Linked DNA regions of Drosophila melanogaster. The gene in region 2 interacts genetically with the main gene of each other region. Each region holds a gene or a part of one and is shown on either strand. Other genes may lie near its edges.

Region 1 (5,071 bases), on a different chromosome or scaffold from region 2:
GAAATGTAAGGAACAGCTTGTACTTGCTGATCGCCAGTGCAGCTTGTGAAGTTTTCATCTTTTTCTTAGTTACTCCTTGACGCTTTCCATTTACGGAAATTTCATAGGGCCTGCGTGTTAGGAATATATGTTTAGATCTGAAACTGTCTAGCTAAAAGGACCCTTACCTTAATTCTTCTGGGACCTGGGACCAAATCAGGCCATTGGGGGATGGCTGCCAGTCGGAGCGTTGGGAAAATTCAAATCTTATGCCAGGATCAATGTTTATCTGTGGCCTTTGAGGCTGGAAGCGCGTGTGCTTAAATGTCCTACAATCGAAACGTTTAAAGATGGCACGTTCCAAAGATTCCAGCTGCGCATCGTCACAGCAAAAGTTCAGGCTGCTAAAGTAGATGGGTTTGGAGATCAATACATCCAGTAGTGCCCCCTGCACGCCTATGACATTCCATCGCGCTATCTTATCACTGCAGGACATGGATAGAGTGCGCTCTCCACGTCCGGGCTTCGTTCGCAGAGCTCCTGGCGTCTGCAACATTGGATCATCGCTAAGGTCACTTATTAGTTTGGCACCCGTATAGACCATCTCGGAATCCTCATCCAGCCGCTGGCGTTTGGCCCGCGCCGCTGGTTGCTCTTCCTCAAGGATGCAGGCATCCCCACAAGGCGTTTGTGTGCTCAGAAAGTGGAACTCCACGTGCTCATCCATGTCGTACGTACTTAGCGTGCTGTTCCAATGAAAGATTCTATCCTGCTTGAGCTCCTGGTATAGAAAGCGAAGAAATCCACGACGTGCCAGCACCTCGGCATGGGAATCATTCAGGATGAGGCCATTGGGACAAAGTTTGGATTCTCCAATGCACTTTGTTCCGCATCCAAGCGAAACTAGTTGACATGCTTCCGTGTTCCGGTTGAACTCCACGATTCCCGCCAAAATTGTCCATTGATTGGCTGTGGGCTTTCCTGTTTTTGGCAAGGACTCGAATTTTTTTAAACAAAGTTCCGCAATTTCCTTAACAGTCGGTTTTTTGTTATCACACATTTTTGTTTATATTCGCAAATGTGCGAACCGATAAGTTCGGTAATCGAATAGCAATATCGATTGGCGTGTTGCATTGTTTACCTTTTGCTTGCACACTCTGGTCTCACTGTTTATTTATTTACTTGCGGTGTTTAATGAAATAGGAAATTACTTTAATTTTATAAGTTTCATAAGTCCGAAACCCACAAATAACCATGCCCAAAGTAGTGTCGCGCAGTATCGTCTGCTCCGATACCAAGGATCAGGAGGAGTACAACGAGGAAAAGCCGCTAAACATTTACTACTGTCTGTGCAACAAGATGGCTCTGATTCTGGGTAAGATTACTGGAGCCAACTAACTGAAAGCATAGTACATCATGTTTGCCTATCCTACAGATTGCACCCTCGAACAGTTGCCGCTACGAGAGGTGGACAACGCCCGTGTGATAAACGCCAACGACCATGCCAACAAACTCACCCACAATCCCACACCGAGGATGGTCTACATCAAACGCAAGAGCAGGGGCAATGGGATCGAGAAGCAGTACCGCTACAAGGTGAGTAGCTGACTTCCACTCCTTACCCGTCATTAGTTCACCTAATGTTTTCCTTTAACCTTCAGTGCCGAAGCTGCAGTCTGCCGCTTTACTATCGCCACAGTCCCGACTCCCACGTAACCTTCGTCATGTCCAATGCCCTAATCCGCAACAAGGGTGAGAGTCCTCTCACACAGCTGCTGAATTCGGAGATCAAGGGCAGTTTCAAGGCACCGGCTGCCAAGCCAGCGACTTCCGCCGGTCCAGACGATTCGGGTATTGTGGATGCCAGTGGCAAGAAGGTCGTCGTCACCAGACACACGAAGAACATGGGCAAGTTCAGCTCGGTCACGGTGTCTACCATCGACGAGGAGGAGGATGAAATCGAGGCGGTAAGTTTGTCAGCTAAAGTTGGTTTGTAAATGGTGCAGGAAATCCAATCTATCATTGCATCATCTACGAACAAACCTACAACTCTTTCAAACTAACCATTTTTTTTGTTCATTCAAACAGCGCGAGATCGCAGACAGCTATGCGAACAACGCAAGGATTATCGAGAAGCAACTGCAGCGCAAAGGCGGAAAATTGAGCGATGTGGGCATCAAAACCAAGACAGAGGACGCACCTCCGCCGCAGAAGAAGCAGCGCGGCACGCTACTGGAAAGATAGTCACACTCTGCCTCCTTATTACCCACAACTAAATATATTTGACGACACAAATGGCTGGCATTCTTGGAAGAAAAATTGCAATTTATCTAGTTATAGCATACGCAAATAGTTTGACCTTCTATGCTGTCGTTTTGGCAGCAAACTGGGATGCTGTGCCAGTAGCTTCTTCAGTCGCTGCTCGGCGTGCTGGTGATTGAGAATCGAGTCCTTGACAAGCCCACAACTGGGACATAGATTGTACTCCGACTTTGACTTTTTGACGATCGCTGGACGCACGCGAGTCTCCATGATCAGCTTCATTCGATTCGTGGTACGCGGCGAGTTGTGCAGAGCAGTGAGTGGACGGCACTTACTTCTTGGCGAGGATTCGGTCCGTTCCAAAGCAGCCTTCTCCTTGCTCCTGACCAGCTCGAGTGCACGATTCGCTCGGGCTTTGGCCAGCTGCAATTCGAGAGGCGCCTTTGGCAGGTTAAAAAAGAAGTGGGTCCACTTATCGCGCAACTGTTCGATGGCCTCCGAGTTGAATAGTGAGCTGGAACGATTGGAGGTATGGGGTCCCCATTCCGCGTTCCCGATGCAACTCAATCTATAAGCGGACATTGAAACCTGAAGTATTATACACTGAAAATTTGACAACAAAGTAAAAGTGTACATATATGTGTATATGTATACTATATACCGTATAGTTATGGTTTTTGGATGGATTGTTTTTCAAATATATAATTATACGAGGGTATAGAAGCTTCGACTTCTGGAAGCTAGCTCCCTAACTGTTTTTGGTTTTTGTATTCTGTTGCATTGCATTGCTTTCATATGTTTAATTGTTTCAACTGAACACATTGTACTTGTTTTCGATTTAGAAGCGTTGAAAGCGGATGTATCTTACATTATCCAAGTAAAATAAGGGATGAGTCGATATGTATGTTGCATATCTCCTTACGATTTTAGATAAGGAAAGACATTTTATAAATATAAATATAAATTTCTTGAAATATAAACATTGAAGAGATAATTAAATTCATTTTTTTTGGGTAAATTATAATATATTTTAAACCTGCTCGTTGCAATTTAAATTCAAAATGCTTCTTCTTCTGCTAAAAAAGCCATTCAACACGAATGCTCTCTACATTGGATTTTTTAGTACATTCTTAAGCATCGAATCAGGGCTGGTCGCGAGCATTTACTGGATTTAGGCAGTGCCGCACTCTGGTCACACCGCGAAAAATATTATATTGAGTTGAAGATTATATTATACATATATATATCGAAGATACATATTCTGAAAACAAGTGCTGAAGCCCAAGCGATTTGCAAACGAAACGGACGCGCGAGCCCCGTTCAAGATTCGAAACGAGTTCAGTGCGTGCGCTTGAGTGTGTGTGACTGCCATGCGACGTTCGCCCGGGTGATCCGGCTGTGCCAGGTGCCCCACGGTTCCAGGTTTCCAGTTTCCAGGTTCCGCTCCACTCCACTCGTCGCTGGATTCAGTGCACAACACAGCGGGCGGGGAGGCGGAGGGCAGGCGGCCAACGAAGGTGCTCCACGGCAGGCTCTCGTCGGCTACTCCACGGCGCACAGAATGTTCTCGGGGCCCAGCGGCCATGCCCACACCATTAGCTACGGGGGCGGGATCGGTCTGGGCACTGGAGGCGGCGGCGGCAGCGGTGGTAGTGGTAGTGGCTCACAGGGCGGAGGCGGTGGTATTGGCATTGGCGGCGGTGGCGTGGCTGGGCTGCAGGATTGCGATGGCTATGACTTCACCAAGTGCGAGAATGCTGCGAGATGGAGGGGCTTGTTTACGCCATCGCTAAAGAAGGTGCTGGAGCAAGTGCATCCACGGGTTACCGCCAAGGAGGACGCACTGCTGTATGTGGAGAAACTCTGTCTGCGGCTTCTGGCCATGCTGTGCGCCAAGCCGCTGCCCCATTCCGTGCAGGATGTGGAGGAGAAGGTGAACAAGTCCTTTCCAGCGCCCATCGATCAGTGGGCCCTGAACGAGGCCAAGGAGGTGATCAACTCGAAGAAACGCAAGTCTGTCCTGCCCACGGAAAAGGTGCACACGCTGCTCCAGAAGGATGTGTTGCAGTACAAGATCGATAGCTCCGTGTCCGCCTTCCTGGTGGCCGTGCTCGAGTACATCTCAGCGGACATACTCAAAATGGCCGGCGACTATGTGATCAAGATCGCCCACTGCGAGATCACCAAGGAGGACATCGAGGTGGTGATGAACGCCGATCGTGTGCTAATGGACATGCTCAACCAGAGCGAAGCCCACATCCTGCCCAGTCCCCTGTCACTTCCCGCGCAGCGTGCAAGTGCCACCTACGAGGAGACGGTCAAGGAGCTGATCCACGACGAGAAGCAGTACCAACGCGACCTGCACATGATCATACGCGTCTTTCGTGAGGAGCTGGTGAAGATCGTGTCCGATCCGCGCGAGCTGGAACCGATATTCTCCAACATAATGGACATTTACGAGGTGACGGTCACTCTGCTCGGCTCCCTGGAGGACGTCATCGAGATGTCCCAGGAGCAGAGTGCCCCCTGCGTCGGTAGCTGCTTTGAGGAACTGGCCGAGGCCGAGGAGTTCGATGTGTACAAGAAGTACGCCTACGACGTTACCTCGCAGGCCTCACGGGATGCTCTCAACAATCTCCTGTCTAAGCCAGGGGTAAGTATTGATACCTTCTGTGCGAAGAATTCTACTAAAATCCCTGCTTTTAGGCCTCATCTCTGACCACAGCCGGCCATGGCTTCCGCGATGCGGTCAAATACTATTTGCCCAAGCTGCTTCTGGTGCCCATTTGCCATGCCTTCGTGTATTTCGACTACATCAAGCATCTCAAGG
Region 2 (6,543 bases):
GACATGACCAAGTCGACTCGGCTATTGATCCTGATCATGAATGTACATTCTTTATATTATATTATATATATTATATTATATTCTACTAGGAACAACAAATTTATGCGCTATCGCGTACCAACATTCTATTGATTTAAAATATTTTTTATATATGTACCTGTTAGAAACGTGTTATTAATATATTAATTAATATTAATATTTTGGCAACTTGTAACTTCGGAGTTTGGCTTATGAAAGAAATCTTTAATTCTCGATTTGTTTTTGTTTTTTAAATCCGATTAAACCATAATTTATACAAGTTTTGAAAAATATTAGTTTCCGTGTTATCACGCCAGTGAAAAAAACTTTCCCATGCGTAAATGAATATTTATGATTTTCTGTACTAATGAAATCTCCCCGATTGCCACACGAATGTTAAAGCCCCACAGTTTTTCCATCGGAAGGCGCTAACCAATCTTCTCGAGAGTATTTCTGTTCAGCTTTGAATGTGGGTCAAAGAGAAATAAGTTGAAAGAGTGAGCAGGAAGGTGCAGGGGATTGTGTCTTTATGGTGGTTAAAACGCAGTGACGTCAATGATCACCGATGATTTTAAAGCGTTTACACAGAATACGGCAGAGACGACGAGGCCAGCTCTTGATTTAATTCAAGTGAATTTTTCAGGGGAAATACCTGGACACTCGGTGAATTAACTTCTTGCTTATGCGCTCTTCTTGCTTAACTTGACTTCCGTCAATGGGAAAGTCCGAGCGAGTCGAGCTATTTGACAAAGTGCTAAATGGTTGAACCGAACATCTTAAATTGACTATTACGTAGCTTTAAACGTCGCCAATAATAAAAACGTCTAAATTAGAGCCACCCACAAACACCGAAATCCATAAAACCAATTTTTATTCGTTCCCAGTTCAGATCGTAAATCACTCGCAAAGAGAAGCACATCAAAATCAGCAAACTCACTTAAATACACAAATATATTTTTTTTTTTGCTTTGAGCATTAAGCAATCGCCAGGCGTAGCAATTGAACTCAAGCCTAACTCGAATTTAAAATTTATAATGGAACAACTTTGATTTTGAGTCACTTGTTGCTTTAAAAAGCAGTATCTGTCATATGACGTTTGGATTCTCGTGCGTTTTTTTTTGCATTTAATTTGCCTCGTCTTCCGACACGGAAGACCGCACCTGACGCTATGAAGCTCAACGCAGATCCGCTCTGCTGCTCTCTTGTTTGTTGTTAGCGTCAAATTGCCACAGTGAAAATGATCGATTTATGAGTTTTTCGTTTTTGGCTAGTTCCAATGTCAGAGGAGCATTATTCTGTATACGCATATTGAGTTTCGGTTAATTAAAATGTTCAATAATATGATTGTTGAGAGCGATTTGAGAAGACTCAAATAAATATTTTAACAATTAAAGAAAAGTTATGATACCACAGTTTGCAAATAAATGGGTCCGATTTTCCAAATAATTATAATTTCAGCTCATATGCAGCGAATTTAGTATTTTTTGAACCTCCGTATTCATTATTCATTAATAATTCAAGCCATCCTTTATTTTACTCCCGTTGCCACTATAGGCTGCAATTGTTATTGAACATGACATCAGAAAATGTCGTTGAACCCACGAAGAGAAGGCAATTGTTTTAGAGAGCCACATGCAAGAGCCGTGTCGGCATTTATTCATATTTCCCTGTGTTCATGCGTGGTGAAGTTCCGATTTAGTTGAGCGTTCTTCTTTCGGCTCAGGTGAAGTGTGTGTGTGTGTAGACAAATCATTCGAGTTTGTGGCAAGTCAATAATACTCAATAGAAGGCAATTGTTTTAATAATTTGTCAGTAGCTAAAAAAAAACATAAGTGACAACAGACTCGGTCGTCGCTCTCCAGGAAGGTCGAACGACTACATTTTAATTGACTCAGTGATATAGTGTTAATTTTTAGCTGATACGTCCGATAAAGACTACATATACTAACGGTGAACGTGTTGATGTTATAGGAATTTGAATTAGCGTAAAATTGCACAGGAAGCAAATATTCACCTAGTCTGGCTGGGCATTAATTGACTCGTAATTTACGTAGAGGTAAATACACACATTTCAATCAGATTAGGACAGTAGAAGGAGACGAAATCGCATTTTGTCGATACAGTTTGGTGTGTGGCTAGATTTGATTTCAGTTATACGACCTGTAAGCTGTGACTTTGTGCTGTAATATTGTAAAAGTTAATTTAAAATGAAAAAAGAATATACTGCTAAGTTAGATAACCGTATACTTCAGTGATATTGGCCATACTGCCTAACGTTTTTATAAAAGTGTCCTTTTATTTATTTATTTTGCATTACACAACCCGTTAAAGTTAACATTTAACACTTTCTGTTTACTTTTTATTTCCAGGTAAGTCCCAATATTTCAGTATTTAAGGGTTTTGTGGTCAGGGAAACGGAGAATCTGAGCCATCGACGTAAACACATGTGTTTATATGTGCACATGAATTTCTATTTACATAAGGGAGCTCAGGAACACTCATATTTGGTCAAGTGTTAAATCAAAGTGACTAACGACTATGTTTATAGATTTTGCCCTCCGACTTTTCGCAAAATATCCCCAGGTATTCGTTAATATATTCTTAATATTAAATGGTATGTCCAGGCGCGAGTCCCCACTGCGAGTCCCTTCTGGATTGGATACTAGCCATTAGTATTCCCACGATGTAGACTCTAATATTTTCTATTTCAGCAATGTTCCATAGCATACCTTATCAATGACGAGTTCAATGGCGTTCACAAGAACCCAAGCGGAGACATTTAGAAACAAATAATTTGATTTCCAGTGACGCGACAGTGCTGAGTTATTTTGGTTACGTGAACAAATTAATACAACCTGACATTTTGTCAGTAACAGCGACGAGTTAATTGTTTTCAACTCGATTTGATCTTTGCAATCAACGCACTTTGTGACTAATTGTTGTCGTAATTACAAAACTGTGCAGTTTATCTCGGAGCATCTTAAGAGAGAGGCACTTGGAGACGAAGAGCGAGACCACTCTTCGACGAGCCATTGGACTTCTGGGCCAAGATAAAAGAGACTAAGCACACAAAGATGGATCGAAGAGCGAGAGAGCGGGAACGGTTGGCCAACACGCGGGCAGCGAGCTTGGCTCAAATGGCACACACATAGATGCCAAGGCGGCGGGTGCGAGTGTGTCGGTGCGGTGGCAAGCGGTTAAAACCTTTCTATAAAAATTTCATAAACGTATCAGTTGTCTGCGAAGCGGTGCACAAAACGGACGTGTAAACGGAAGCCGCACGAAAACGGCTCGGAAATCGGAATAGCGCCCGTACACGCAGCACATAGGAAATCGAATCCGAATCTGAGTTAAATGCCTTAATCGAATTTGGCCAAAGCTCGCCTACCGCGCTTACAAGTTTTTTCGTTCACGGGCCGATGAAATCTATATAATCTATTATCCACAAGCCACCACAGAGCCACTAGATGCACTGTGCGGCGCATGCGCGACCTGTTTGTGTTGTTGGCATACTTCTAACAGTCAGTGTTTTCTTTGTTCAAAAGTGCCTCAAGTAAAACCCCACTTTGATATGGATAAGTGGTAACAAGAGCAGCAGTAGCAGCAAAACTGGAAAAGGTACAAGCCCAGGGAAGCTGCAGTGTGCGGAACATTCCTCTGGTGGATCCGAACTCAGAAAAAGATGGGAACAGAACTTTCTATTTTCTTTACTGTTTCGCGTGTGTTTCGCTGGTCATGCAAACATATTTTCTTTGCCTCGGCGCATGCCGCTGGAATTAGAACGGTGTATTCCGTGCGGAATACAAAGTCGAGCTTATTTCGTAAGAGAATTCCTGCGAATCTGGTTATGCAATGCCTGACAGCCCACAAAGTCGTCCTCAAGTTGTTGCGAACTTTATCGTTTACTATGTGCTAAAATGCACAACTGGCTTGCCAAACGGGTGATACATTTTTGTAAGTGCTAAAGCGCTCAGTTCCGTGCACATGAACTTTCTTATACACTGCTGTGCACTTCCACGGCGTTTTTTTTTTTCAGACACCATACCAGGCCTCAGAAATCATATCAATTTCGACTTACGTGACTTGGGCAAACTGCGCCATTTCGCACATATTCTTTGCGTTTAGGCTAAGATTTAAGTTGGCTCTCAGGCTTGGAATTAGCGGAGTTTAGGGCCTTCTTTTATATCGCTTTTCAGCCTTCTCTTGCTGCACTGTGCCGTGGTCGTAAATTTCCTGCGTCATGAGTCATGCCTGTCAGTCGGAGTCGCTTAACAACAGCAGTGGTAGCAGAAAAAAGATAAAGATACAGATACAAAATATTCAGTTGAAAAACACATGAAAATTGCTTTCATGGTATTGAGTGTGGAGCTCCAGATGAGCTAAAGAGAGGCAAAAAAGCTCATTGTTTATGGTAGCTGGCTTCGTGGTCCGCTCTTTGTTGTTGGCATTCCGAGCTGTAACCTCTGATTGTGATCCCTTCGAATTACTCCTTTCAGTTCATTGGTTCTCTCTTCAGCTCCTGCCACTTAAGCTATTAACTGTGGACCGTGCACTTTCCCAAAAACCTCTTATACATACGCTGACGATACTTTGTTTTCAGTTAGAATAAATAAATACAGTAAGGGAATAAAATAAATGTGGTTTTTAAAGCATATATGTGCAATCTCGGAGTCACGTTCCTACTGGAATATTTGCGTCGTCCTTGCACTTCTCTTTTTTGAGTAACGGGTATTTGTTAGTCAAAGAACTCGCTTTGGTGTTTTCTCTTGTTTTTTTAAGAGTGTTGGCGCCACAAAATATTTGATGAATGTGAAGGACGTTCAATTTCTTTTAGTTTCTCTCTTAAAAAAACAATTTTTTTATTAAATTAAGTACACGAATGTCGCGGATATTAATATATATGAAAAGTTCGACATATCGAATAAATTCGAATTCCATGAGTGGAAGGGAACTAAGTCTCGTCACCATTGTGCAATGACCTAAATCACGGTCATAAAATCAAAGCCAAACTTTTTTTTACCATAAGTTTTGTTGTGTTGGTTGAGGTTGTCGGTCAATGGCTATGTTTTTGCTGGCCAAATAGCTTACTTTTGATTTCCACATTAATGGAGCGCAGCAAGCGAATCACAATGTTATTTGCATTAAATTTTTTTGGAGTCACGGAGAAAGTACGCACAAAAGCTATAAATTAGACGGCATCACACAGCTTCTTAATTCCTATCGCTCTCTTGCAATGATTCACTTTTTTTTGGCTACGCAACGTAGACTCGCTCACAGATTTGGCTGAAAACCATCATGTCGAATGGCAACAGAAAGAGTTAGTGTTTGATTTTCGAGGTTTACTAGTTGTGGATTGGCGCACTAGAAGGAAATAACAAAAAAGCAGACAAACATAAAAAACGTTAAACCGGTTCAATTTGGGTCGTAGTACCTTTGAGTGCAATTGTTACCTTTCAGAAACAACGACAACAAAGACTTCGCCAATCGCACTCCATTCCACTCGCTCTGCAGCTCATTATACCCGTTATTATGTTCGTCTTGTTCAGTTTTCTTGGCACGCGTTACCGTAAAAAAAAAAAACTCCCACACAAGCAACCGAAAACACATCGAGCGATATTTTGTAATGACCATGCTTCGAATCGGTTACCATAGGTCAGTCAACAAGTTCGGTGTGAGTTGAGCTTTTATTCAGGGATAAACGCACCGTAGTCTTTTTGTTCATACTCGGTTAGTAACAAAAACTATACAAATCTTTAAAACACTCGAACAATTTTGGTCTTTTTGTACAACTTAACGTATGTAAGAATGTGTAAAATATTGTAAAACACAACGATTTTCTACTAATGTTTTTAAAACATTTTAAAGATATTTTTAAAATATCATATACCGATTCCTCTGAAGTCCACCTACGGCTGTCTAATTCGCTAGATGTTGACTGTAAAAGGTACAGGGTTTTAAAATTGTTTCAATAAAGCAAAATGTTCCCGGATATGTTTCGATCAAGAATATATATATATATATACATTTTATATATACTTTTCAACGAATCTAATTTCCGCTTTTTATCTTCAACTACAGGAATAAAAATATAATTTCTTGGTACACGACAGTATTAGTCCTTGACGTCCGACTCGTGACAAAAACTGCTAAAAGATATAGATTACTATATGCATCAGAGCTTTCAATAGCCTTTCGAAAACAAGACGGGTTCAACTGGTTTTATACAACGTCGTTGCTGTTATGGTTATTGTTGGTGTTTATCGTTAAATCAGCTGTTTTATTTTAAAGTTATTGTTTAGATATTGTTGATATCAGATATATAGCACACATAAATGTGAAGTTTATTGTTTAAGAAACAAGAGTATTAAAGTGTTGGAGTCATCGTTTGTTAGTTAAGTGACTTGAATGTCTGCTATCCCTTACTTTGTTAGCAAATTGCAAACGGATTGCATGTAATATTCACGAAGGTTTAGAGTTCATTTAATTGATTATTAATGAGAATCCTTAAAGTTTTTCGGCATGGGC

What was found. Genes that interact genetically often act in the same process or in processes that back each other up.
Region 1: of Src42A (region 2) and Sos, changing one suppresses a phenotype caused by changing the other (phenotypic suppression), as found in Drosophila melanogaster (3 studies listed by BioGRID).

The regions. Positions count from the first base shown.
Region 1 is NT_033779.5:13,810,412-13,815,482, forward strand, and holds the start of Sos (Son of sevenless), read left to right. Parts: upstream 1-3,404; 5' UTR 3,405-3,802; coding exon 3,803-4,894; intron 4,895-4,947; coding exon 4,948-5,071. Other genes in the region: Adat1 (adenosine deaminase, tRNA-specific 1), read right to left, coding at 1-110, 168-1,039; CG16865 (uncharacterized protein), read left to right, coding at 1,234-1,354, 1,415-1,575, 1,641-1,946, 2,068-2,223; CG16888 (uncharacterized protein), read right to left, coding at 2,314-2,823. UniProt on the Drosophila melanogaster protein: Promotes the exchange of Ras-bound GDP by GTP. Functions in signaling pathways initiated by the sevenless and epidermal growth factor receptor tyrosine kinases; implies a role for the ras pathway in neuronal development.
Region 2 is NT_033778.4:5,989,742-5,996,284, forward strand, and holds the start of Src42A (Src oncogene at 42A), read left to right. Parts: upstream 1-3,250; 5' UTR 3,251-3,636; intron 3,637-6,543. UniProt on the Drosophila melanogaster protein: Required directly or indirectly for the phosphorylation of drpr which is necessary for the interaction of drpr with shark and subsequent glial phagocytic activity.